Tamandua tetradactyla: one gene and its partners. The protein of the gene in region 2 interacts with the protein of the main gene of each other region in a biochemical or structural test. Links are inferred from orthologs where the notes say so. Each region holds a gene or a part of one and is shown on either strand. Other genes may lie near its edges.

Region 1 (7,173 bases), on a different chromosome or scaffold from region 2:
GTTTCTGGTTCAGAAAAATTTCAAAAGAATATTGAATGGAGAAAATAACAAGTATGTAAAGTAGAAAATGCTTTACTATCTATTTTATGTTTCCCAGAATACCAGTTTAGCCAATGAATGTAAAGTAATAAATGACTATTTCTCTGTTTACAAAATAAAGGAGCTATTCCTCTCCCACTAAATATATACAGACTATATAAAGAAATGTCAGCTTAAAAAGGCACCAAATTCTTAGTATACCCACAATTCTCAGTCTTGACCCTGATTCCAGCACACAGCACTAACACACAGCAGGCCTGCAATAAATAATTTATTAAATGAAAGAGCCAAAAACTTTTTAAAAGCACATGATTGACATCTTCTTACATTAATTTCATTACCTGCATACTCATAAAACCAAGCCAGGCACTTCTTGCTTGAAAAATGTTCCTCTCCACCTATTAGTCTAGCAGGGGGTTGGGATCTGCAATAGCTTAAAAACACACAAATGCCCAAGATTTTTATCAAATCTCAACTCTTCATGCAAAGCTAAGTTCAACTACTTCAATTCAAACTAAACAAAGTTTGTTTTTTTACAGTTGGCATTATAGGAAAAAAACTGGAATTCTTAAGTATTTGCAATTTCAAACAGTAGTCTATAAATAAGAATTTCTGGCTTTACAAAACCCAAATGCTACTTTGCTCATTATCACATTCCAAAAATATCAACTAAAATTATTTCCCCAGATTTCAAAGGACTACAGAGAAGCTCAACCTAATGGTCCCAATGCAAAAAGTGGTAGGTGAGAAAGTACAAATCTTTATCCAGATTCTGCCACTGATTTGCACAAATATTACTTTTCTATATAACAGACATACTCCAAGCATTTTGAAAACAAAATCTTACAAAGCATATTTTGATACTTTAACTCAATACTGCAAAATAAAATTATACATTAAGAGTTGTTTAATGTCTACCGAACTTATAAATTTTTAAAATAAAAGATGATTTAGGATATATGGGTATAATCAGGTTCCACAGATTAAAACAAAAACAACAAAAATCTCTAAAAGATAGCAGTAGTCCAAATAATTGGGCCAAAACTATTAAATCCCTGTGTCTATTTTTAAGCCATATTTTGATCATTACAAGTTGGGAAGTTCATAAATGACCTCTAGGATGTAAACGACTTCAGAAAATATTTTCTCAAGGAATTCCAATAATTAAACTGCCCAAATGACAGAATGCTAAAACTTGTGCAATAGAGTAATGCAAAATAAAGGAACCATATTTAAATATTTAATTGATAGAGCAAAGTATCACCTGAGCTCTAATAATATCGACTGCTCAGCTATTTTAATGTACTTAATTAAAATTTTAAAAATGTGTTCATTTTTTCAAATCAGTGATTCCCAGCTAACTTAAAGAATTATTGATTTACTATGTTACCATTGGTTGCATCTTGTTACTGCGCAAAATCACAGCATTTTTGAACATTTGAAAATGCAATTACCTAATTAACTTTTATACTTTATATATTTAACATGGCCACATGTTAAGGTAATAAAAAACTAATTTGCATATGTTTTATAAACATGAGCTAGTAAAGTAACCATATGAGATTTCAGTGTGAGGTACCAAATGATGTAAGAAGAAAAACATCATCTTACAGACTAACAGCGAAGGAATAATCATATTTAAGCAACAGATCCCTCTTTATGGAGAGCTCTATTATTTCCACTTTCCAATACTGACTACTGTCTTTCTCTTAATGGTAGCATCTGACATTGTTACACTGAATGCCAACCATTCGTATAGTAAAAAACACTCAATAAGGGGATTAAAAAGAGCGTTTCTCACACCTAAATTCCAAGTTTTTTGCAGCATACATACTGCTGTGATGCCTCAATGATAAGCTACAATAGGATAAAAAAGCTGTAACTACGGTTCTGATTGGTCTTTTCCTCCAACAGGACACAGAGTACAATAAGTTCCCAGATAATTATTAATATTTATATTGAGAGCTGGCAGCGTCCTGAATGCTAGACAACAAAGACCATGCAGGGCTTTCTAAACTCTGCAGATAGGAACTTGGCACAGGTGCAAGCCGCCTGCTACGACCGGGTTAGGCCACTCTAAATATTAAATGTGAAGGCCAATTATAGCATAGAGTTTTCTTTTCTACCATTCCCAAGGCAGTTGTCAAGATCCTCACGCTCCGGTCCTTTCTTCAAACACTGTACAGACATTCTAGATATGATCCTTCTGGGAATCTGTACCCACTTCTAAAGCTGGAAAAAGGTGAGGGAAGGGTTAAAGAGTAGGGGACAGGATGAAAAAGGGCAATTTACAGAAATACGCGACCCTGTTTTCCACCCTCCAGGGCCCTTAGACTCTAATGCGGGGTGATTCTTCTAGTCCTTCTACGAGCGCCAGAGCGCAACACTAGCGAACACGAGGTTGGGAACGGAGACTCGCGGCGTTCTGAAGCCACTACCTAGGTGAATCAGAGGGGACTCACTTCACCCGCGCCGCAGCCCCGGAAACCGGGCCCGCCTCCTTCCCCTCCTGCTCTCCAGCAAAGGAGGAAGGAGGAAAGCTTCAGCCGTGGGGGGAGGTGGTACCTGGAGATTTTACACTTCTTGAGGCCTCCGTCTTCCGCTACTGCCGCTGCCACCCCGGGGGATTTTCTCTTCTTCTTCACCGGCATCTTCCGCCCTCCCCGGTAGGGCGGCCAGGGGAGCCGGGGAAGCGGGTCGTTGTAAACCGGAGACCCCTCAGCGCTGGCACCGGGTTCCCAAAGACAGCAGCAGGCGGAGGAGCAGAGTCGCCAACCCGCGCCGGCACGACCCAGCCCGGCCGCCGCTCGCTCCCAGGTCTCTTCCTCGTCCTTCCCTGCCCGGGACAGTGGTCGCTCTTAGCCGATAAACTCTGCGGTTCGGTTTCACCGGGAGGAGATACGGGGACAGCACAACACCTCAACCAGTCACGGATTCCGAGAGCAAGCAGCTCAACATGACCCGGATACGAATCTCTGGGGGCCGGAAGTGACGTTACCACAAAGCCGGTCGCGGAGCGGGGCGTGGCTCTGGAGGCCGGAACTTTGGGCAGTAGAGGAAGATCAACGCGGTCAGATTGCAGCTAGCGGAGGAGTCGGGTTGTGTTGGCCAAGTGAGTGCATGTTTCCTAGGGTATTCTGACCTTTATCGTGAAGTTACCAAACCGTTCTAATGGTAGGAGTCATCATCCTACCAGGAGATGTTTTATGAAACGGTTAATACTCTGCGGTTGGCGTTAAAAGTAATGTGGTAAAATAGACCAAGTTTCCCTTTAGAGATATTTCATATGGTAACCTCACGTTAACTGTTAATGTCCCGGACCTCCACTTACCACTTTCTCCTGGAATAAAACGTGACTCTACAATTTCTCTTTTCACGGACCTCCACCCACAGTTTAAAGACAGTAGGTGCTAAAACGTAGCAAACTTGGTAGAGAGGATTCGGGGGAAAATTCTATGGGGCTTCCCCCAACGCCTCGCTGTCCAAAACGCACTAATTTCGCCACCTCCTTTTTCGTGGAAATCCTGTTCATTAATAGGATTTATTGTCTATAAAGATTGTATAGTAGAAGCTTTTCAGTCAATATATGTGTAAAATAAATTCACCTCTGTATGCTATCTGTGATGATGGCAGAGGACTAAAAGATCTTTAAATTCAGCAACAGTTAATGTGGTTGTTCTGGTGAGACTGCCTCAACCTTAGCACCCTAATCTGTCAGTCAAAATGTCATATTATCTTAATGCCAGTAATTGGTTCAGAATGGGTACGTGACCAAAGCAAAGCCATTTAGTACTAACTGACACTAATTGACATCAGGAAGCATATTATGGCGTTAGAGCTGAGAGTTTGTAGGGAAAGAACAAAAACTTTTAGAAAAGCTCAACGTCCAGCAGAAAGACAAAAAGCCATAACATGGTTTTATGATATGAGCTGTAAATCCATGATATGCCATAGAATTTGTAGTTTATGAATGAATAAATTTACTATTTTGTTTGTATTGGTTATTTAACAACTGAGAATGTTAACCCACTTAAGAATACACTAAACAGAATCAGATCAAATGTCTAAATATAGCTACACCTACAGAAAGTAGAAGAAAAAGAAACATATTAAATAACATCACTAGATGCAATTAACAAAATCTAGATTGTCCAAAAAGTCTACAGGATAAATTACTAAGATTCTTTAACAGATTATTAGAGGCGGGGGTAGGTGAAGGAAATTAAAAGAATTAAACGTCAGTCATTTTCAATGTGTGATTCTTATTTGAATATTTTTTTCAAATAAGCAATATAAACAAAATTATGCCATTTATCTGACAATTTGAAATTTCAATACTGGCTGGATATTTGATGAAATTCCAAACTTGGAAAACCTGTCTGTAGTGACAGAAAGGATATTAGTGCTGTGTGGGACATGGAATGGAGTAGAGGTGGGGGACAAAATTGATTGCAAAGAGGCACAGAAAAACTTTTTGGACAGTGGACATAGTCTCTCTCTTGATTGACCTGGTGGTATGTACAATTGTCAAAACATTGAATTATATACTTAAAAATGTTTGTCCTTTATTGTATAAATATTATTCCTGAATAAAGTTAATATAGAAAGTACAAACCAGGTCAAACAAAGCAAAACAAGTGAAGCAACAAATCAATAGTAGATAAACCAAGCTTATTTCTTCAAGAAGTGAGCTGCAAAAGCTAAATGGACCCCTTTTTCTAAGGAGGAGAAAAGAAAAGGAAAAAAATGCAAAAGTTTGGAGACAAGGACCTCAGAGGACAACAGACAAGGATTATCCTTCTGGAAAGCAGAATCAGTATATAATTAGGGACTTTCCTAATGCCTGCTGGGCTGCATACCAACATTGTAATGGACCCATGACTATTGTACATCTTCTGTTTTATTTTCTAAATGGAAACATTTATTGTGATTATTATACCCCTTCTCCACCATTGAACATTGGGTGGGAATGGGAAGCAGATAATTGTCTCTTAAATCATAGGCCACAAGGTGTGCTGGTTTGAAAGGATTATGTACCCTAGAAAAGCCATATTTTAACCCTGATCCATCTTGTGGAGGCAGCCTTTCTTTTACTCCCTTTTAAAAGATTAAAAGGTTGTAGGTTGGAAACTTGAGTAGATTATCTCTTCAGAGATGTGACACACCCAATGGGGGGTACTTAACCTTTGATTAGAGGGAGATGTGACTACCCCCATTCCAGATGGGTCTTGATTAGTTATTGGAATCCTTTAAAAGAGGTAACATTTTGGAAAAAGCTTCAGAGCCATGACAGCTGCAAGAGCCCACACAGCCAGAGACCTATGAAGGTGAAGAAGAACACTCCCTGGGGATCTTCATGAAACAAGAAACCTGGAGAAAAAGCTAGCAAATGTCGCCATGTTGCTTTCCAGTTGAGAAACCCTGAATGTCATTGGCCTTTTTGAACAAAGTTTTCTTTCCCTGGATGCCTTAGATTGGACATTTCTGTAGCCTTGCTTTAATTTGAACGTTTTCACGGGCTTAGAACTATAAACTTAAAATTTAATAAATCCCCCTTTAAAAAAGCTGTTCTGTTTCTCATATATCATATTTTGGCAGCTTGCAAACTAGAACACTGGGTTATAAGGAATCACTTTTAGGCCTAAAGAAGAAGACCCCACCCTCCTGGAGATTCTGGATATTGAGCTGAAAGCAGTGACTAGATAAGAGCCTACTTGCTTCTACAGAATTAAAGAAAAAAAAAATAAAAGACAAAGTGTTGAATCTATGTATGGTTTCATTCACTCAATCTGTTATTTAAACACTATGTAATGACCACTTTAAACAGGAACTGTGCTAGGTTTAGGTGATGTGACTCTTGCCTTCATGGAGCTTACAGGTTGGAGGAGGGAATATATGTAAACTATCTGTGTTTAAGAGAATTTTATGAATGAAAAATAGTGCTCAATATTCTATGCTTGTCATTGTATCTAAGGGATGACAATCTCAAGCATCATAACTAACATGCCCACCATCTCTTCATTACCTTCCATGGTGAGTACTACTGTCACCATCATAACTCCATTCTCAAAAAGTAGCATTCCATCATCCCAATTACTCTCACAAAAGGGGCATTTTGACATTATAACCACATGTGAGTAGAACAGAAATGTTTAGTTAGGGTGTTTCAATCTTTTTTTACTGTTTGCCAACTTATGGATAGTACATTATTTTCCATGAAAAAAACTGCCTATAGTAGAGAAACAAACTATGACAGGGTATTGTGGTTCTTTGTTGTGTAGTAGAATTTTTTTAATGAAAATAAGAGGAAGAAAAGGGAGAAATGAAACATTTACCATAAGCAGAGACAAATGTGTTCTAGTTTCAGATCCAGAAACATTCAGTGACTTTAAGGAAGGCATGCAACTTCCTTTATCTTTGTCTTTCATCTTAACCTGCTATTACATAGAAAGATGTGGAAAAAGAAACAACTAAGAAATAACCATCTATCACAAATGGACATTTGCACGCCAGTGTTTATAGCAGCATTATTTGCAATTGTGAAGAGATAGAAACAGCCAAAATGTCCATCAACAGACAAGTGGCTAAACAAGCTGTGGTATATACATATGATGGAATAGTATGCAGCTGTAAGACAGAATAAAGTTATGAAGTATGTAGCAACATGGATGGACCTTAAGGACATTATGCTGAGTGAGATTAGCCAGAAACAAAAAGGACAAATACTGTACGGTCTCACTGATATGAACTAACATTAATGAATGAACTTGGAGAATTTCAATTAAGAACAGAGATCATCAGGAGATGAGATAGGGTAGATATTGGGTTATGGAACTGAAGGGGTACAGATTGTGCAACAGGGCTGATTGTAAAAATTCAGAAGCCGATAACACAATACTACCTAACTGTAATACAATAATGTTAGAACACTGAATGAAGTTGAATGTGAGAATGGTAGAGGGAGGAGGCCTGGGGGCACAAATGAAATCAGTAGGAAAGATAGACAATAAAGACTGGGATGGTATAATCTAGGAATGCCTAGAGTGTATAATGATAGTGACTAAATGTACACATTTAAAAATGTTTTTGCATGAGGAAAAGGAGTGTCAATATTGCAGGGTGTTGAAAATAGAT
Region 2 (7,938 bases):
TTCTATCGCTTCTACCGCCGCCGCCGTTTCCGGATTAAACGATCTGACGTCACGAGCCCCACCCGCGCCCGGAATGCTGGGAGGCGGCAGGAGTGCGCGTGCGCAGGCGCCTCAGTCGACCGCGGCGGGGCGCATGGGCAGCAGCACCGCGGCCTCTTGCGGCCAGCCCCAGGCTGTTGCAGGGCTCCAGCGGCGCCAGTCCCTGGTCTCGGTCGCCGCATGCCACACCGTGTCAAGCTGAGCTCCTTCCCGTTACCCACCCGAGGGCTCAGTTCCTCCCTTCGCCTCGGTAGGCCCCGTAGGGCCAAAACCCAGGCCGCCGGAACTGGTTGTACCAAGCCTTCCCGGTAGGCCCACCCACAGCGTAAAGCAGAGCAGGGGACGGCACAGACTCCTCGCCAAGCTGCCTGGCACGCTGCAAATTTATGTCAGCTTCAGGTTTGGGGCCTGGTCTTCCCACTGCACCCAGGATTGCCCCAGGCACAGGGCAGCCTGCCCGGGGCACCCCAATATCACCCGTGAACACTCTTCTCCCACTAGCCCCCCTGGGCCGCGTGTTGTTCCCCATAGAAGGAAGAGGCGAAGGCCATGCTGTAACATTCCCCTTTAATAGCCTGGTAGGACCTCCAGTGGCAGAGGGGTGGGGTGCCGAGCCCCGGCTACCCAGGCCCCTCATCCACCTGCCCAGGAGCCCAGAATGGGGGGCTGGATAGCACCCAGCGCGGGGGGGGGGGCTAGACAAGCCAATTCATTTCCCATCGCTGAGCGGGTCGGGGGAGGCAGTGCCGACCTTAATCACATGGTGGTTAAAAAAAAAATAACGGGAGGGACGGGTGGCAGGGAGGGGAGACAAGGCCAGGGCAGGGGACCCCCCTACTGACTGCCGCCCCCGGCCCCCACCCATGGACCCCAATAAATATTTGCAGGGGACGCCAAGACTGGTGGCCTTGGCAGGGCAGGGCAAGCGCTGACCCTATTTCAGACAGCGCTCAAAGTAGGTGGAACCAATGTAGCCACCCCGCATGGAGCGCTGAACGTTCTGCTCAAACAGCCGCCGGTTGTTCTGCAGGACCTCAGCAGCCTCCTTATTCAGGGGATCCTCAGGGTTGGGCTCCTGTGGCCAGCACACGTAGAGGTCAGTAGGCCCTAGAAACAGAGGGGCTGACCCCCACCCCACAGCTCCTGGCCAAACCTGTCTCTACTCACCAAGAAGAGATACTGCAGGCCATAAATTATGGAGTTAATCGTAAGGACTGGCTTCCAGTCCTCTCTGTGGACAGAGAACACTGGGGTCAGGAGCTGGCAAACTAGCAGCTACATCAGTCCTTCCTGAGGCCTGAAGGGTCAGGGTCCAAGACCCAGGAGAGTGGGTATGTGAGAGGCTGGGGGGAGTGTACAAAGAACAGGCCAGAGAGAAAGTCAAGACCATGTCATGAGAATGAGGCAACAAAGGTACATGGACTGTGTGGGAGAGAAGGGATGTAGATGGACTGAGAGCCCATGAGGTCACAAGGAGCCAGGAAGCAGGCAGGGCTGCGTTACAAGCAGTCAGCAGAGGTGGCATCGTCACCTGAGGATGTTGAGGCAGACATTGCCTTCGAGGTCGATGTTGGGGTGATAGACCATTGTCTCGCACTTCACCTTGGGGGGGTCATGTGGGTAACCCTGGCCCACCTGGCTCAGGAAAAGAGAGGAAGTGGGTAAGTGCCTTAGAGGAGGCTAAAGCCTCAGGTGCGCCCTCTTCAGCCCTGGGAGCTACCCATGTCCACCCAGGACTCACCTTAAAACTGAATACAAATTTCCCACTTTTGTAGAAGCCCTGGGAGAAGAGAGAAAAAGATGTCCAGCAGGGCCTGGTGGACAGAACAGAGCCCCTCCTCATGGTAGGGTTATCCCAGGTCTACCTGTCCTGTGCAGTCTCTCACCTCATCGGGACAGATGACCAGCTTGAAGTTGAGGAGATCGTCTGGATCTGAGAAACTGATATCACACGTCTTCGGCAGGTTCAGCTCGTTTATGTCTGGGTTTGAACAGCAGAGAAAGTAGACAGAAAGAAAGGCCATCACGTTAAGTACCAGGAGAGCCCCCACAGCCTCTCCACCAGAATCCAGTCTAGGGTTGTGTCCCATACCACAATCCTCTCCCTGCTGGGTCTGGCCCCCAAACCCCAGGCCCTTCTGGATTCACAGTACATCCCAAATGTGCATCTTCCAATGTGGCTGTGTCTTCTGGCTCCCAACCTAAACCAAGCCCTGACTCTTTTGTATACATAGCTCATATCTTCAACTCCCAAAACTGGGGTGCTCCTGATCCCGAATACACCCAACCCTGGCCCCTAGCATCTGATCACTCCAAATACCATGTTTCTCATCCATGACCTCCATTCTCCATATCCCTATCCACCCAAAATCAAAGTAATTGCCCCTCACCCTGATACGGTAAACTATCCCCTCATTCCAATCCTGGAACCTCGCTATTTCATCTTCTCTTGCCTATCACCCAGGTTTCTGCTTTACTCCAAGATGTGCCTACCCCAGCGCCCCCGTCTCTGAGATTCCTGGGAACGACACTATGATACCCTAACTCCTCTCCTACTCCTATCTCTTATCCCGAGCCCCCACCATCCTTTCCTCTTCCACCTGTCACCTCCAAACCAGGCTCCCGTCTGTCCTCCAGATTCGCAGGTCCCTGATCTGGACCGCAACCCTCAGCCTCAGGTTTCCGGTTCCTAATTCCAGACACCTGGCCTTTCTGATATCCTAACCCCCATCTCTGACCCTCGACGCCCGCATTACCCCACTGCCCACCCTAATTCCCTCATCCCCCCAATCCACCCTGCCCTGCCTCCGAATTCCCAGGTCTGCGGAGACCCATTACACCCCCCGACCCCCTATCGCCAGGCCCTGACCTCCGACCCGTCACCCCCCTACCCTTCTGGATTCGCAGCTGCGCCGCGGACGCCTTCTTGCTGCTGCCCTTGGTGCCGCCCGCCGACTCCTCCTCCTTCTTCTGCTGCTTCAGCGAGAACAGCTTGATCATCCTGCCGCCGCCGCCGCTGCCGTCGCCGCCGCGGGGCCCGGGACCCCGGTCACCCGGCCCCCCGCCGCCACCCGCGCCGCTGCCGCTCCTCGGACTCGCCGCCGCGGCCTCCTCCTCCGCCGCTGCCGCCGCCCGCCTGGCCCTCCTCGCCGCTCCGCGCCCACCGCGCGGCCCGCCTCGGCTCCCGTAGTCCGGCTCCGGCCTGGCCCGGTTCCTCGGACGCGCTCGGCGGCGCTCGGCGGTGCTCGGGACGACTCGGCTGTTTTCGGGCCGCGCACAGCCCCGCCTCTCGCCCGGCCGCTCCCTCCCTCTCGCCCGCTCAGGTCTCTTTAGGCCCAGCTGCGGACGCCGGGCTCTGTCGGTCGGGTCGTTCGCTCACTCGTTCCCTCCGCGAGGTGCTGTGGCTTACGATTTGAGGAGGAGGCGGTGACTGCGCTGTCGGCCGACGTGTCCTCGAGGCGGATCTGCTCCAGGGGCAGCAGTGGACTCGCCGCGGAGATCGGCAACGGCCTCGGGCGCCCCGCCGCTTCGGCTATTTCCGCCGCCTGCCCGCTTAGGCGCCTCACCACCGGCTTGTGGTCTGCGCCTGCGCAGCTGCCGCCGTGCCGCCTCGGCGCGCTCACGTTGCTCAGCAATGGGATTTGGGGTTCGGGCTCCGTCGGATGGGCTCGGGTATTTCCGTTCATGCGGGCCCGTGACGCGTCGCGGGTACTTCCGGAGGCTCTCTTTAGGGCTCACGCAGGAGGCGGCGCCACCATCTTTGAGTGGGGGCAGATTCGCCTCGCGCGCTGTGTGGCCATCCCACTTACACGCGTACAGAGCCGCTGCGGGTTTTGGGTCAGACGAGGTTTCTGTGCCCGGAGGTCACAGAGTGATCGCGGCGGTCCGGAGCCTGGGCGAGGCTTGGCACGCTGCCAGTAGTGCGAGGTCGCGCATCCTCAATGTTCTATCGCAAACTCAAAGATCCCCACTCCTGGAGATTCTTGTTGAGGAGAACTAGCGAACAAAATACTTATTGTGGCAGAGAGTGGTAAGCACCATGGAGATTTACAGGGATGGTCGGAAAGACCTCGCCAGTCGGAGTGGATGCTGGGGACCCGCCGACTGGGCCGGGGCCGGGGCTCCTGCGCAGAGCCCTTCGGAGTGCCTTCCGCGCCTCCGGGCATGCGCCGTGAGCGCCTCAGCGTCCTGTCCAATCACCGCTCGGTGGTCTCGGGGGGCGGGAGGAAGCCGTCACTAGGGCAACGAGCCCGCGGTCATGGTAGCGGGGCTTGGGTCCCGGGTGGGTGGCCGGGCTGCGGTGCTCAGCTCTGCAGTGTCAGAGCGTGGCAGCCCGGCGCATCCCCCACCGTGGCGCCTCAGCACGCGGCCGCCTCCAGCAGCACTGTGGGAGACGCAGTTCCTTGGTCCAGGAGGGCCAGCGGCGGGCGTGCGCTCACGGGCCGCTCCCGCCGACTGGTCATAAATCCGCGCCGGGCCCGGTCACGTCACCTCGCCGAAGTAGCGCCCAGCGCTTCACAGCGCGGCTGCCGTCCACCCCAAGCCGTCTGCTGCTCTCACCTCGGAGGGCCGCCCTCACCTCTGCCATGCTCACCCCTTGGCCGACCCGGCTCTGGGTGAACGGGGTGGGGAGTTCCTTCTATGGCTGAGGCCGTGTGAAACCTAGTAGCCATTTTGACCTCGGCCCTGCTGACGTTGTGAGCGGAGCCCACGCTCTCAACCCCTAGCTTCGCGGAGGCTTTGCAGGGTGTCATCGGCGGAGAGGACAGAATCGCGCTCAAGTGGGGGCTCATGCTTTGCTTCCCGTGTTTCTTCAAGAAGGTGAAGAAGTGGCTTGTGGATCCATGGACTGCTCTTGGCTCTGGGTGTGGGCCCTTGGCCTGGTGTCTTTCTCCATGCCTTTCTTTGTTGCCATTTTTCCTGTGTGAAGTTTCACATTTTGTGTACTGGTATCAACACATTTCCTTTTAAGTACTTCACAACACCAAGATGATTAAAACACGGGCACTTTTTTGTTCTTTTTGTTTGTGATTAGAAGTCATGAGTTAAAAAAAAAATTTATGTTATAGGAATGTAGGATTTATAAAGTTCATGTACCCTTTTGTGCATGCATGCCTGCCCTGAAGTGACCTTCCTAGGCCCGTGTGAGTGTCCCAAACTGTGGCTAGCTTCCTTACCCCTCTTGTTCTGCCGAGCCCGGCCCAGGGTCCCTGAAAGTCCCTTTGTAGTTGGAGAGGACAGTAGGTGTGATCACATAGCTTAGGGATCACACACACACACCCCCCCCCCGCCCCCGTGTCACATAGGAGAACCCCTGCAGGGGACTCTGCTGACTTTGCTTTTATGGACAACACAGTGGCCATAGGAAGTGGGCTTGGTCCTGACTCAGGCAGTGGCTGGGAACTGGACCAGGTGGGATGTGCAGATGGGGAATGGGAGCATGCCTTCTCTAACCCCTGGGCTCTCTGGAAAACCTCTGGCCCAGCCTGGCTTGTCAGCTTTCCCTGAAGCCAAGGCCCTGACCTCATATGTGTTGGGGTGACTGAAAGTGTTAGGGTCTACCTGCACTCCTGGGTGACTTTTTTTTTTTTTTTTTTTGGCATGGGCAGGCTCCGGGAATCGAACGCGGGTCTCCGTCATGGCAGGCAAGAACTGTGCTACTGTCCTGGCTGACTCTTGAATACAAAGATCTCCAAAAGAGATTTCTGGAAACCCCCAATCTGAGGCCAGCCTGACACCCACCCAGTGAGATCCTTGACCTGGAGTTTAGGGCTCAGGGTGGACCCTGCTGAGCACTGACCCCTTCTCTGATTCTGCCTTCAATCCCACAGAGTGGGAGAATGAAAGACTCACGTTCCTAGCACTCATAAGTAGGAAGGGGACTGTGTCAAGGTCCTAGCCAAAGAGGCAGAAAGGGAAGCTGAGGGAGAAGAGACAACAGCGTAGAGAAAAGCCTTGAGGGTCACAGAGATCTCAGCTTTGTAGACTGCAGGATGTGGAATCCACACTGGCGGTTATCTATCCACATTTACCTGAGTTGCTTTCCACTGTTTCATGTGAGGTTTTTGCTGAATGGATTCCTAGTGGATACCTCCCAGTATCTGGGAGACTGTGCGGCGCTATGCAAGGGACCAGGAAGGGAAGAGCCTGCCACCAGTGAATTGAGGCTTGCACCAGACCTCCCTTCCCTGTTCTGGCCTAGTGTGGCATCTGCAGGAACCTCTGGCCTCAGCGAATTAAACCTCTGGGAATTAAAGACAATTGTATAAGAATCTGGATTTCCAGGTGTGGTGGTTAGGTTCAGGTGTCAACTTGACTAGGTGAAGGGGGCTAGTTCTCTTGCTGTGGACGTGAACCAATGGCATGTGAAGCTCATCTGTTGCTGATTACATCTGCGGTCAGCTAGGGGTAGTGCCTGCTGCAGTGAATTTTTTTGATTTCATTTGCTGGATGCTTAAAAGAAAGGTCAACGCAGCACAGCCCAAGCAGCTCAGCATACTTCATCTCAGCACTCACGGCTCTCAGCCCAGGACTTTGGAGATGCAGAAAGGAATCACCCCAGGAAAGCTGTTGGAACCCAGAGGCCTGGAGAGAAGGCCAGCAGAGATTGCCTTGTGCCTTCCTGTGTGAGAGAACCTCAGATGAAAGTTAGCTGCCTTTCCTCTGAAGAACTATACGTTTTTAATGAAATAAATCCCCTTTTATTAAAAGCCAATCCATCTCTGGTGTGTTGCCTACTGCCTACTTTGGCAGACTAGAACACCGGGTAAAACCTCCCAGCTTTTAAATCTAGGAAATGACTTCTAATTTTTACAAATGCACACACACCTCCAGACCAGCACTGGCTTGCCATGTGCCAGCTCGTGACTCCTGCTGCACCTCAAATGACCTTGGCTGGCTGGGAAAAACTGGTGGGGTCCAGGTCCTTGCCTGGAAATTAGTTTGGCCAGGCAGCCCTGGGGAGAGTATAGCTGGAGTGGGAGTACAGGTTGCAGGACATCATGAGCCAGGCATGATGTTGACAGTGAACCAAACTGGGTATGCTTTTGGTGGATCCAAGTGAGAGTCTGGGCTCTCAGCTGTCAGAAGTGCCAAGACCCTGCTGGGTCTCCAAAAGGACCGTGACCCCTGAGAACCAGCTCCTCACCTGCTCTTTCCCCTCATCCAGAGAAAACCTTGACTAGGTCTCTTCCTCAGGAGTTGGGTCTTTGATGGTCAGGCTCACCTGTGAACTTGGCCAGATGATGGTGCCCAGTTGTCTGTTCAAGAAAGCACTGGCCTGTCTGTTGCTGTGAAGATGTTTCATGGACTTAAAATCACGAGCATGTTGGTTACATCCATGGCTGATTATATCTGCAGTCACCTAAGGGAACTGTCTCCTGCGATGAGTGATGCTTCATCACCCAAAGGCTTTTATGAGAGTTCAGAAGAATCTCTCTTCAGCCAGCCAGCCTCTCTCCTGGGGAATTCATTGAGGAACTTCATTGGAGCTGCCAGCTCACATCCTGCCCTACAGATTTTGGACTCTTATGTCCCAACAGTTGCATGAGACACTTTATAAAATCTCATATTTACAGTTTTGTCCTGTTGGTTGTTTCTCTAGAGAACCCTCACTAATACAGGGCCCTAGCCCCTCCCCTGACCCCAGAGGCCCCTGCCCCAGACATCAGTGCCCCCCACTCCCAACCCCACTCAGGGACCTGAGATTCAGCTCAGTGGGGACTCAATCAGAACTCCCAAACTGCAGTATTTTCCTTTGTTCCTCCAGCCCAGAGATGTAGCTGCTCCTTGCAGTTCCTACCTCCATGCCTTTTTTTACTCTCTTAATTACTCATTAATAACCTAATGCTTAGCGATTCCTCACCTGAAATTTGCTTGTTTAAACCTCTGAAGACACCT
Region 3 (7,495 bases), on a different chromosome or scaffold from region 2:
ACGTCACTTATGAAAAAAATGTTAAAACAAATGCCTGTACTGAAATTATGCAGAAAATCCTAGAAATACTTGTCTTTAAATGTTCACCATTTTAGTTTATCCTTAAATGTCTGTAGTTTAATATACACAGCACTTTAATTCCAATGATTTGTCTGTTAAATGAATGGCTAGAGTTTTTTTTAAAGTCTTTTAAAAAGTGTTAATAAAAATGATAATGATGCCAAATTACTGGAAGTTATTTACCTTTCCTAAAAACATTTTCTACAATATTCAGCAACTCTTCGAAATATGTCGATATAATTTTAGATGAATAACATATCTTCTAAGAAATGTTTTGAATCATTAAAGCCCAGATTGGGTGATAAACCATTTTAATTTTAGCACTGACTATAATATAACTTAGTATCAGAGGATTAATATTTTTTCATAGAGTTTATAAAATAAAAACAAGCATGTATAAATCTTTACCTGAAGTTTAAGAAGTTATTTAAAGAAGCTTCCCAGTACATAATCACCTATGCAGTATCACCCCATCATGTAATTTCTTTAGTCTTTCTAAGCAAGTTACCAAATACTTGACTACCTTTCTACAGAAACTGACTATAATCAGGATGAAACTTAGCTCTTTTACAGGCTGAGCCAAACTGACAGAAAACGGTGGAAAATCACACCACATATGTTAAATAAATTAGTTATATACGTTCTGTGCAAATGTTTATTTAGATAGGGAGCAAGAAAAACTCCGAAGGAAATCAAACAGCATTTTAATATTTTTTTAAAAAACTTATCTTTCTCCCTTTAGGCTTCTGCTGTAGAGCTACACATATCTAATATTACAAAATAATCAAGTCACTTCCAAATAGTCAAAGCACTAAAATATTTAGTATTAGCAAACGAGTCTTCCCAAGTTTCAAATACAATACTTAAAAAATTTCAGTTAGCCAAACTCTTTAAAAACCATATTTGATTTTGAAGCCACAGAACCAAACTGTATGAACTTCTTTGGTCACTTTACTACACCAGTTCATCAATTTAATTAGGAACGCAATCACTGCTTTTTTTCACGGTTCTACTTGAACAAAACAGAAAATTTCCTTCCTTTGGATAAGATTTAAGCATGTTTCAGGTATATGCTCTTCAGCCATAATATTTAATTGGAGATAGTTTTTCTTTCTTTTAAAATGCACGCAAATTACGACAACCAAGTACTGTGAGAACAAAACTTAAAGGATTAAAAAAATAAAAAACTCTTTTAGATTGAATTATTTAGTAACTAATTTATGAGCGGATGGGAGGTGGAAAGAAAGGAATGTAACAATTAATGGAGGGCAAGAAAGACACCAAGGTAACCGGGAATATTCTTCAACATGCATTTTATCAAGAATTTGGAACCGACAGTTCTAGTTCCCTGGAACAGAACCTCTATAATAAAATTTCATATTCACCAACCTCATATAAGAAAACCCCTCTTTTTTCAAAAAGACCCATTTGCTTGGTTTACTTTTCTGTTTAGGGTTCAGCAATACACCCATTCGGCAGTGATATTGGATATAAATATACTCTACTGAAAACCCAAGTTCAGGCTGAGGTTTAACCTGACAAGGGAAACTGACAGAGATGCTGGCGGGAAAACCTTACAAGCAAAGTTTCCTCTACCCTGGATCCCCTCCCCTCTCTTTACACCTTCTCCGAGAGAGATAATCTAAAGAATATGTATGTAACTCAATCCTCGGAGAACTTAAAAAAGTTCATCTTTCAAGCTGAATTAGCCAGTCCATTCACACCTCCGAGAAGGGAGTCTGCTGCTGGGTCCCCGAGCCGGCAATAGCAAGGGCCCAAGCGGGCTGATCGGCCTAGCGCCTCCGGCAGGCCGGCGGATAGGCCAGGCTGCCCAGTCTCCAGGCCTAGCACTCCCCTTCCCCAACAATAGCAGGTGTCTTCACCCCTTCACGCTACCTGGGACGTGAGAATTACGTCTCGGAGACAGGAAATGCGGTAGGGACGACTGAGGACGTACAGTGAAGGGACCTAGGGCCAGAACGGACAACGGCCTAAAGGAAAAGTGGGGGAGTGAAGTGACGGGGGGCATTCGGAAGGAAAGGGCCGGATAGGATCAGTGAGTGGGTAGGCTGCCGACTTAGGGGAAAACGAGGAAACAGGTTATGCCCCAAAAGGTGCGGCAAGACCAGCGCAGAAGGCCAAGGTCTCGAATGAGGGCCCTTGAGATGGGCTTAGAGACGGATTTCGGACTCACCTGAAGTCCTTGTCGCTGGATGTCATTTTCTCCAACAAATTGGAAATATGGTACGAGGCGCTCGCCATGTTGACGGCCTCGATCCCGCCCGCCGCCGCTGCTGCTGCTGGGGCTCCTCCTTTCGCTCGCGGCGGTTCCCGCTCCCAGGGTCGCAACGCGACGCCGACGCTGACTAGGGAGGCGCCTAGGAAGGCTACCCCCTCCCCGGCGAAGCGTGGGCCTGTCCCGAGGGAAGCAAAGGATACGGTGCCGACCTAACGACGGCGCTGCTCGCGGGAGGACGAGGCCATGAGAGGCGGGGAAATACAGCAAGGCCGCTCCAGAGATCCAGACACTTCCACTGAGGCCTGCCTGGCTCTCACTCTGCGAATTCGCTCCGTGGAGCAAGCGGCCAAAACCCGCCTCCTTTCCAGCGGGGGCGGGAGTGACAGACGCGGGACGCTACGGAAAGCCCGGGTCAAGGTTCACGTAGGCCCCTCCACGCACGCTTCAGAGACGCTAGTTAAAGGGCACTCCTATTGGCTGATGTCTAAGTCAGTCTTCGCTTGAACGGCCTTTTTGGAGGCATGACTACGAGCAAACTGGGATGTTCTCGCGATACTTTAAAGCAACGGTTAAAGGAGAGAGGCGAGCACTACTCTGAAAATAATTTGAAGACTGTTTGTGTATGGCATTAAGAAAATAAAGTTTACGATTTTTAAGGATCATAAGATTTGAGATTAGTGCTAGTTAAGATATTAGCCTCGATAAGAACAAAAGAATTATTAGCGGGAGCTCTCCTTTCGATTTGACGCGTGGCCTTTCATCGTGGTGTAATAATGCCACGTGAAAACCACAAATCCCAGAATTCAGTCGGGGTAGCACTGGGTCAGAGTGTCATTGGCTGCAGGAACTTATAGCGTCCTAATTGGGTTCCGTGGGAGGAGTAACTGCTGGGATTTGCAGTCTGGCAAGGCAGCAGTGCTAGATGGAATCTTTGAATCACCACGTGCTGGGTTTTTGCGGCTAATTCGGGTTTCTCCTAACAGACTTTCTTGTTTAGGGATGTTTGCAGAATTGGCTGTAGCAGTTTGGGAAGGGGCATTACGGATTCATGAATCCTGGTATTCTTAGCAGAGGCCTTTAGCGACTAACAATATCCTCATCCTCAAAAGGCCACTGAGCCCGCCAGCTCGCCCTCCTTGCCTGCTGGACACACTGACCTCTTGCCATCGTGGAGCACCTCCCTACAGCAAGCAGGACCGTATTAAAACTAATGGGCCAACGACAGGTGATTGTATTCGAAGCCTACCCGTTTTTTTCAGAACAGCTAAAAGACTACCTTCTATAGTCAGTTGTTATATAGTTGATAATCCTGCAGCTGTGTATTTTATTGTCCCCCAAATATACACAAAAAGCCTTCGGAGATTAGATATTCAAATCATTTGTTTTATTATCCAAGTTTTTATCTACTTAATACTTTGGATTTTGAGATAAATTTTGTCACCAAGAGATAAACACCTAAAACTTTGTTATGGATTTGAGGTAGGTAGAATTGGAGCTAGCTGACACACTTTTCTAAAAGAAAAAGTAGAGAGGGCAGTGAAGGGAGAAGGAAAATGATGTCTCGTTGTTTCTCCTCTTGTTTAAAAAAAAAAGCCTTTAAATAGCTCCCTACTTCTAAGTACGTCAAAACAAATAAAATCTACCATTTCTTTATCTTTCTTTCAACTACATTCGTTAAATATTATTGTTTCTAAAAGCCAGGTACTGTTATAGGCAATGACAGTTAACACAACATAGGAAATCTGATCTGGCCTCACATTATATACCTAAATTCCTCTCATTACCCTTTGTCTATCCCCATGTATGTTTTTACTTTAATACTATTTTCCTCCCCGGTGATACCATAGCTCTTTCCTCATTTTACTTAGGTCTACCATCATTAGGACTTCTTTAATGAAACATTTCCTGAGTGCTCCAGCCAAATTAATTCCCTTCTGCTCTGAACAGTCCTTAATAATATACTAAACAATATTAATAATTACAATATTAATAATATTAAACAATAGTAATAATATTGAACAGTCAAATAATATTTAATAAGCTGTACATACACATCACACGCACAAACAGGCCATTTTTCTTGTGTGGACTCCAAGGCTTAAAATCTTAGGCATCTGGTGGTAACCCTTTTAACCTATATCCAATCAGACACAAGTCATCTTTTGTCCTTTTTCATGTGTAAATCCTTGCATTTATCAGTTTCCATCTGAAATATATTTGGAGTCAGAGAACTTAAATATAAATATTTGTGCCGATTGGTTGCTATTTTAGGTAGTTCATTTTAATCTCTCTGAGCCCTCAGTATCTTCAAGCTAAGGAAATGATTGGGCAATTAATCTTCAGGGCTGGGGGTTTTTTGTTTTTTTGGCATTTGAAGGCTCTGGAAATCCAACCGCATCTCCGTCATGACAGGAGAGAATTCTACCACTGAGCTCCCTTGCACCCCCCTTTCAGAGCTATTTTAAGAGTTAAATAAGATATCCCATATAAGTCCTTAGCATTTGACCTGGAACACAATAATAATATTTATACCTAATACATCTTGCACACTTAGAAAGGTACAGAAAAACATCTAATAAAAGTTAGCTATCATTATTATATTCTTTCAGGCTTTTGTTCCTATTCCCAAACCATTCTACACAGCCAGTTTAGGGTTGTCCAAAACGTTTTTGTAGTGTTACCTATTTAACACATTATATCTTTCTACTGCAGAATAAAGTCCATATGTTTTAGCAATCAGTGCCTCCATCTGACCCTAATCATTTATATTTTACCTTTCTCCCATTATTCTAATACAAGAATTGCCCCCACCAGCTTTTTATTTTTTATTTTATCTTTTTGTTTTTGTTTGTTTTGAGTCCCTCTAAAGACCCAACTACAAGTCTTCGGTACATAGTTATAATAAAAAAAGTTATGGATCAAGCACTGTATTAATTTATTTAATCCTCAGAACAACTCTATGAAATTATACATTTTAAGTATAAAGGCATAAGTATCAGGCATGAAGAGGTTAAGTAACTTACTAAAAGTCACCAACAAGGTTCAATTAGAATTCAAAACTAAGCAATGTTGCTTCATAGCTCAAACTTCGAACTGCTACTCTAGAATTCTTCTCCCAGCCTGGAAGGCGTTCCCTCTCCTCTATCCCTCTTTTTACGGTCTTGAACCAATCACAGTGTTTATAAGTTCACTACCACTAAAGCATAAGTTCTTTAAGAGTGTGTACCATCTTTTCCCTTTTGGGGAATGGTGAGAAAAGAGGGAAATATTCAACTTCCCTATTTGGAGAATTTCTGATATTCTCGCAAGCAGTGGGAACAACCAAATCAATAGGCGGAGCCCTGGATCTTGTTGTTTGCCCCTATGAAACTTATCCCTGCAAAGGATAGGCTAAACCTACTTAAAATTAGGCCTAAGAGAGGATACATAGGTAGTTTAGTAGTTAGAATGCCTGCCTTCCATGTGGGAAACTCGGGTTAGATTCCCAGACCATGCACCCCAGAAAAAAAAAAAAGTAAAAATTAAAAAATTAGACCTAAGAGTCACTCTCAGAGAACCTCTTTTGCTGCTCGAATGTGGCCTCTCTCTCTAAGCCCACACAGCAAACGAACTCAGTCTTCCCCCTCTACATGGAACATGACTCCCAGGGATCAATCCTCCCTGATAACATGGGACAGAAATCCTGGGATGAGCTGGGACTCAGCATCAAGGGATTGAGAAAACCTTCTCGACCAAAAAGAAGAAGAGAGAAATGAGACAAAATAAACTCAGTGGCTAAGAATTTCAAGCAGAGTTGAGAGGTTATCCTGGAGGTTATCATTATGCATTATATAGATATCCCCTTTTTAGTTCATCATGTATTAGAGAGGCTAGAGAGAAGTGCCTGAAAATGTAGAGCTGTGTTCCAGTAGCCATGTTTCTTGAAGATGATTGTATAATGATATAGCTTTTACAGTGTAACTGTGTGATTGTGAAAACCTTGTGTCTGAAGCTCCTTTTATTTACAGTATGGATAGATGAGTGAAAAATCTGAATAAAAAATAAATAATAGAGGGAACAAAGGTTAAAATAAATTGAGTAGATTGAAATACTAGTGGTCAATGAAAGGAAGGGGTAAGGGGTATGGTATGTATGAGTTTTTTCTTTTTTCTTTTTTCTTTCTTTTGCCGGAGAGATGCGATGTTCAAAAAAATGATCATGGTGATGAATACACAACTATGTGATAATATTGATCGTATACCATGTATAGAATGTTCTATGTCAACAATATTTATATGTTTGTTATTCTTTACAATTTAAAAAAAAAGAGTATGTACCATCTTTAAACCCCTTCTGCTTCTTTCAGGTACTTAGTTATGGCAAGTTTGTAATGGGCGCTAATAGTATTTAATTTTTTGTATTCTTGACCACTTAGAGATTTAATTTTTATATCACTTAATATAGAATGTTATTAAACAGTGGAGTAGTGCTTTCACTTAAGGATCTGTTAATGCTAAATTAATTTTAGGTACAAAAGGAAATAAGTCTGAATAAGGCTAACCTCCAAGAGTTTTTTTTCCAGTCAGTGGTCATAAAAGAAAATTAAGATGAGAGAGCAGGAAAAATTGAATCCTTCAAGATGTCGTGAGTTTCTTTTAATATTAAACAGTAGTTTGGCTTAGTTACAAACACTTACTGACTGCTGACACAATGCCAGGCACTGAACTGTACAGTAGGGATGTAAAGGTGAATAAGACATATTCCTTAACCTTGAAGACCTTTCATGTTGATCAAATCTTAAATTTCATATTAAAAAATTACTGTATTTTAGGCAAAACTAAGAAAAATTCTCACCCTAAGTATATAATCAGAATAGTTTTCTATTTATGTTCTATATTGAAAATAAGGAATAGATGTTAAATAGATGCATTGTATTTAAAATTTTAATTATGGTAGAATTGAGGTGAGATGAATATTAAGAAATACATATCCATAAAGAAAGGACAATGAAAATGTTATGTAATTGAGTCATTGAGTTATCTGAACTTGTTGGGTTACCAATTTGAAATGTTGTCTAGTTATTTTGTTTATTAGGTACCCTGTCAAATATTTTCCATTGCCTTTAGTGATATCTTAGACCCCCTAACTTTCTAGACCCTTCAGTGTTAAAAGTCCAATCCAGTTTAGTCCAAAGGCCAGCTAAATATCCCCTTCTAC

The links.
Region 1: the proteins of UBE2M (region 2) and DCUN1D5 form a complex in vitro, tested with the Homo sapiens proteins (3 studies listed by BioGRID). The link is inferred for Tamandua tetradactyla from reciprocal best matches to the Homo sapiens genes UBE2M and DCUN1D5.
Region 3: the proteins of UBE2M (region 2) and CAND1 form a complex in vitro, tested with the Homo sapiens proteins (2 studies listed by BioGRID). The link is inferred for Tamandua tetradactyla from reciprocal best matches to the Homo sapiens genes UBE2M and CAND1.

Annotation. Positions count from the first base shown.
Region 1 is NC_135334.1:38,989,697-38,996,869, reverse strand, and holds the start of DCUN1D5 (DCN1-like protein 5), read right to left. Parts: upstream 3,033-7,173; 5' UTR 2,691-3,032; coding exon 2,605-2,690; exon of another isoform or gene 2,166-2,604; intron 473-2,165; coding exon 381-472; intron 289-380; exon of another isoform or gene 245-288; intron 1-244. UniProt on the Homo sapiens protein: Contributes to the neddylation of all cullins by transferring NEDD8 from N-terminally acetylated NEDD8-conjugating E2s enzyme to different cullin C-terminal domain-RBX complexes which is necessary for the activation of cullin-RING E3 ubiquitin ligases (CRLs).
Region 2 is NC_135342.1:120,851-128,788, reverse strand, and holds UBE2M (NEDD8-conjugating enzyme Ubc12), read right to left. Parts: upstream 3,101-7,938; 5' UTR 3,040-3,100; coding exon 2,931-3,039; intron 2,021-2,930; coding exon 1,926-2,020; intron 1,820-1,925; coding exon 1,781-1,819; intron 1,675-1,780; coding exon 1,571-1,674; intron 1,271-1,570; coding exon 1,207-1,270; intron 1,115-1,206; coding exon 974-1,114; 3' UTR 588-973; downstream 1-587.
Region 3 is NC_135333.1:135,243,130-135,250,624, reverse strand, and holds the start of CAND1 (cullin-associated NEDD8-dissociated protein 1), read right to left. Parts: upstream 3,060-7,495; 5' UTR 2,323-3,059; coding exon 2,255-2,322; intron 1-2,254. UniProt on the Homo sapiens protein: Key assembly factor of SCF (SKP1-CUL1-F-box protein) E3 ubiquitin ligase complexes that promotes the exchange of the substrate-recognition F-box subunit in SCF complexes, thereby playing a key role in the cellular repertoire of SCF complexes.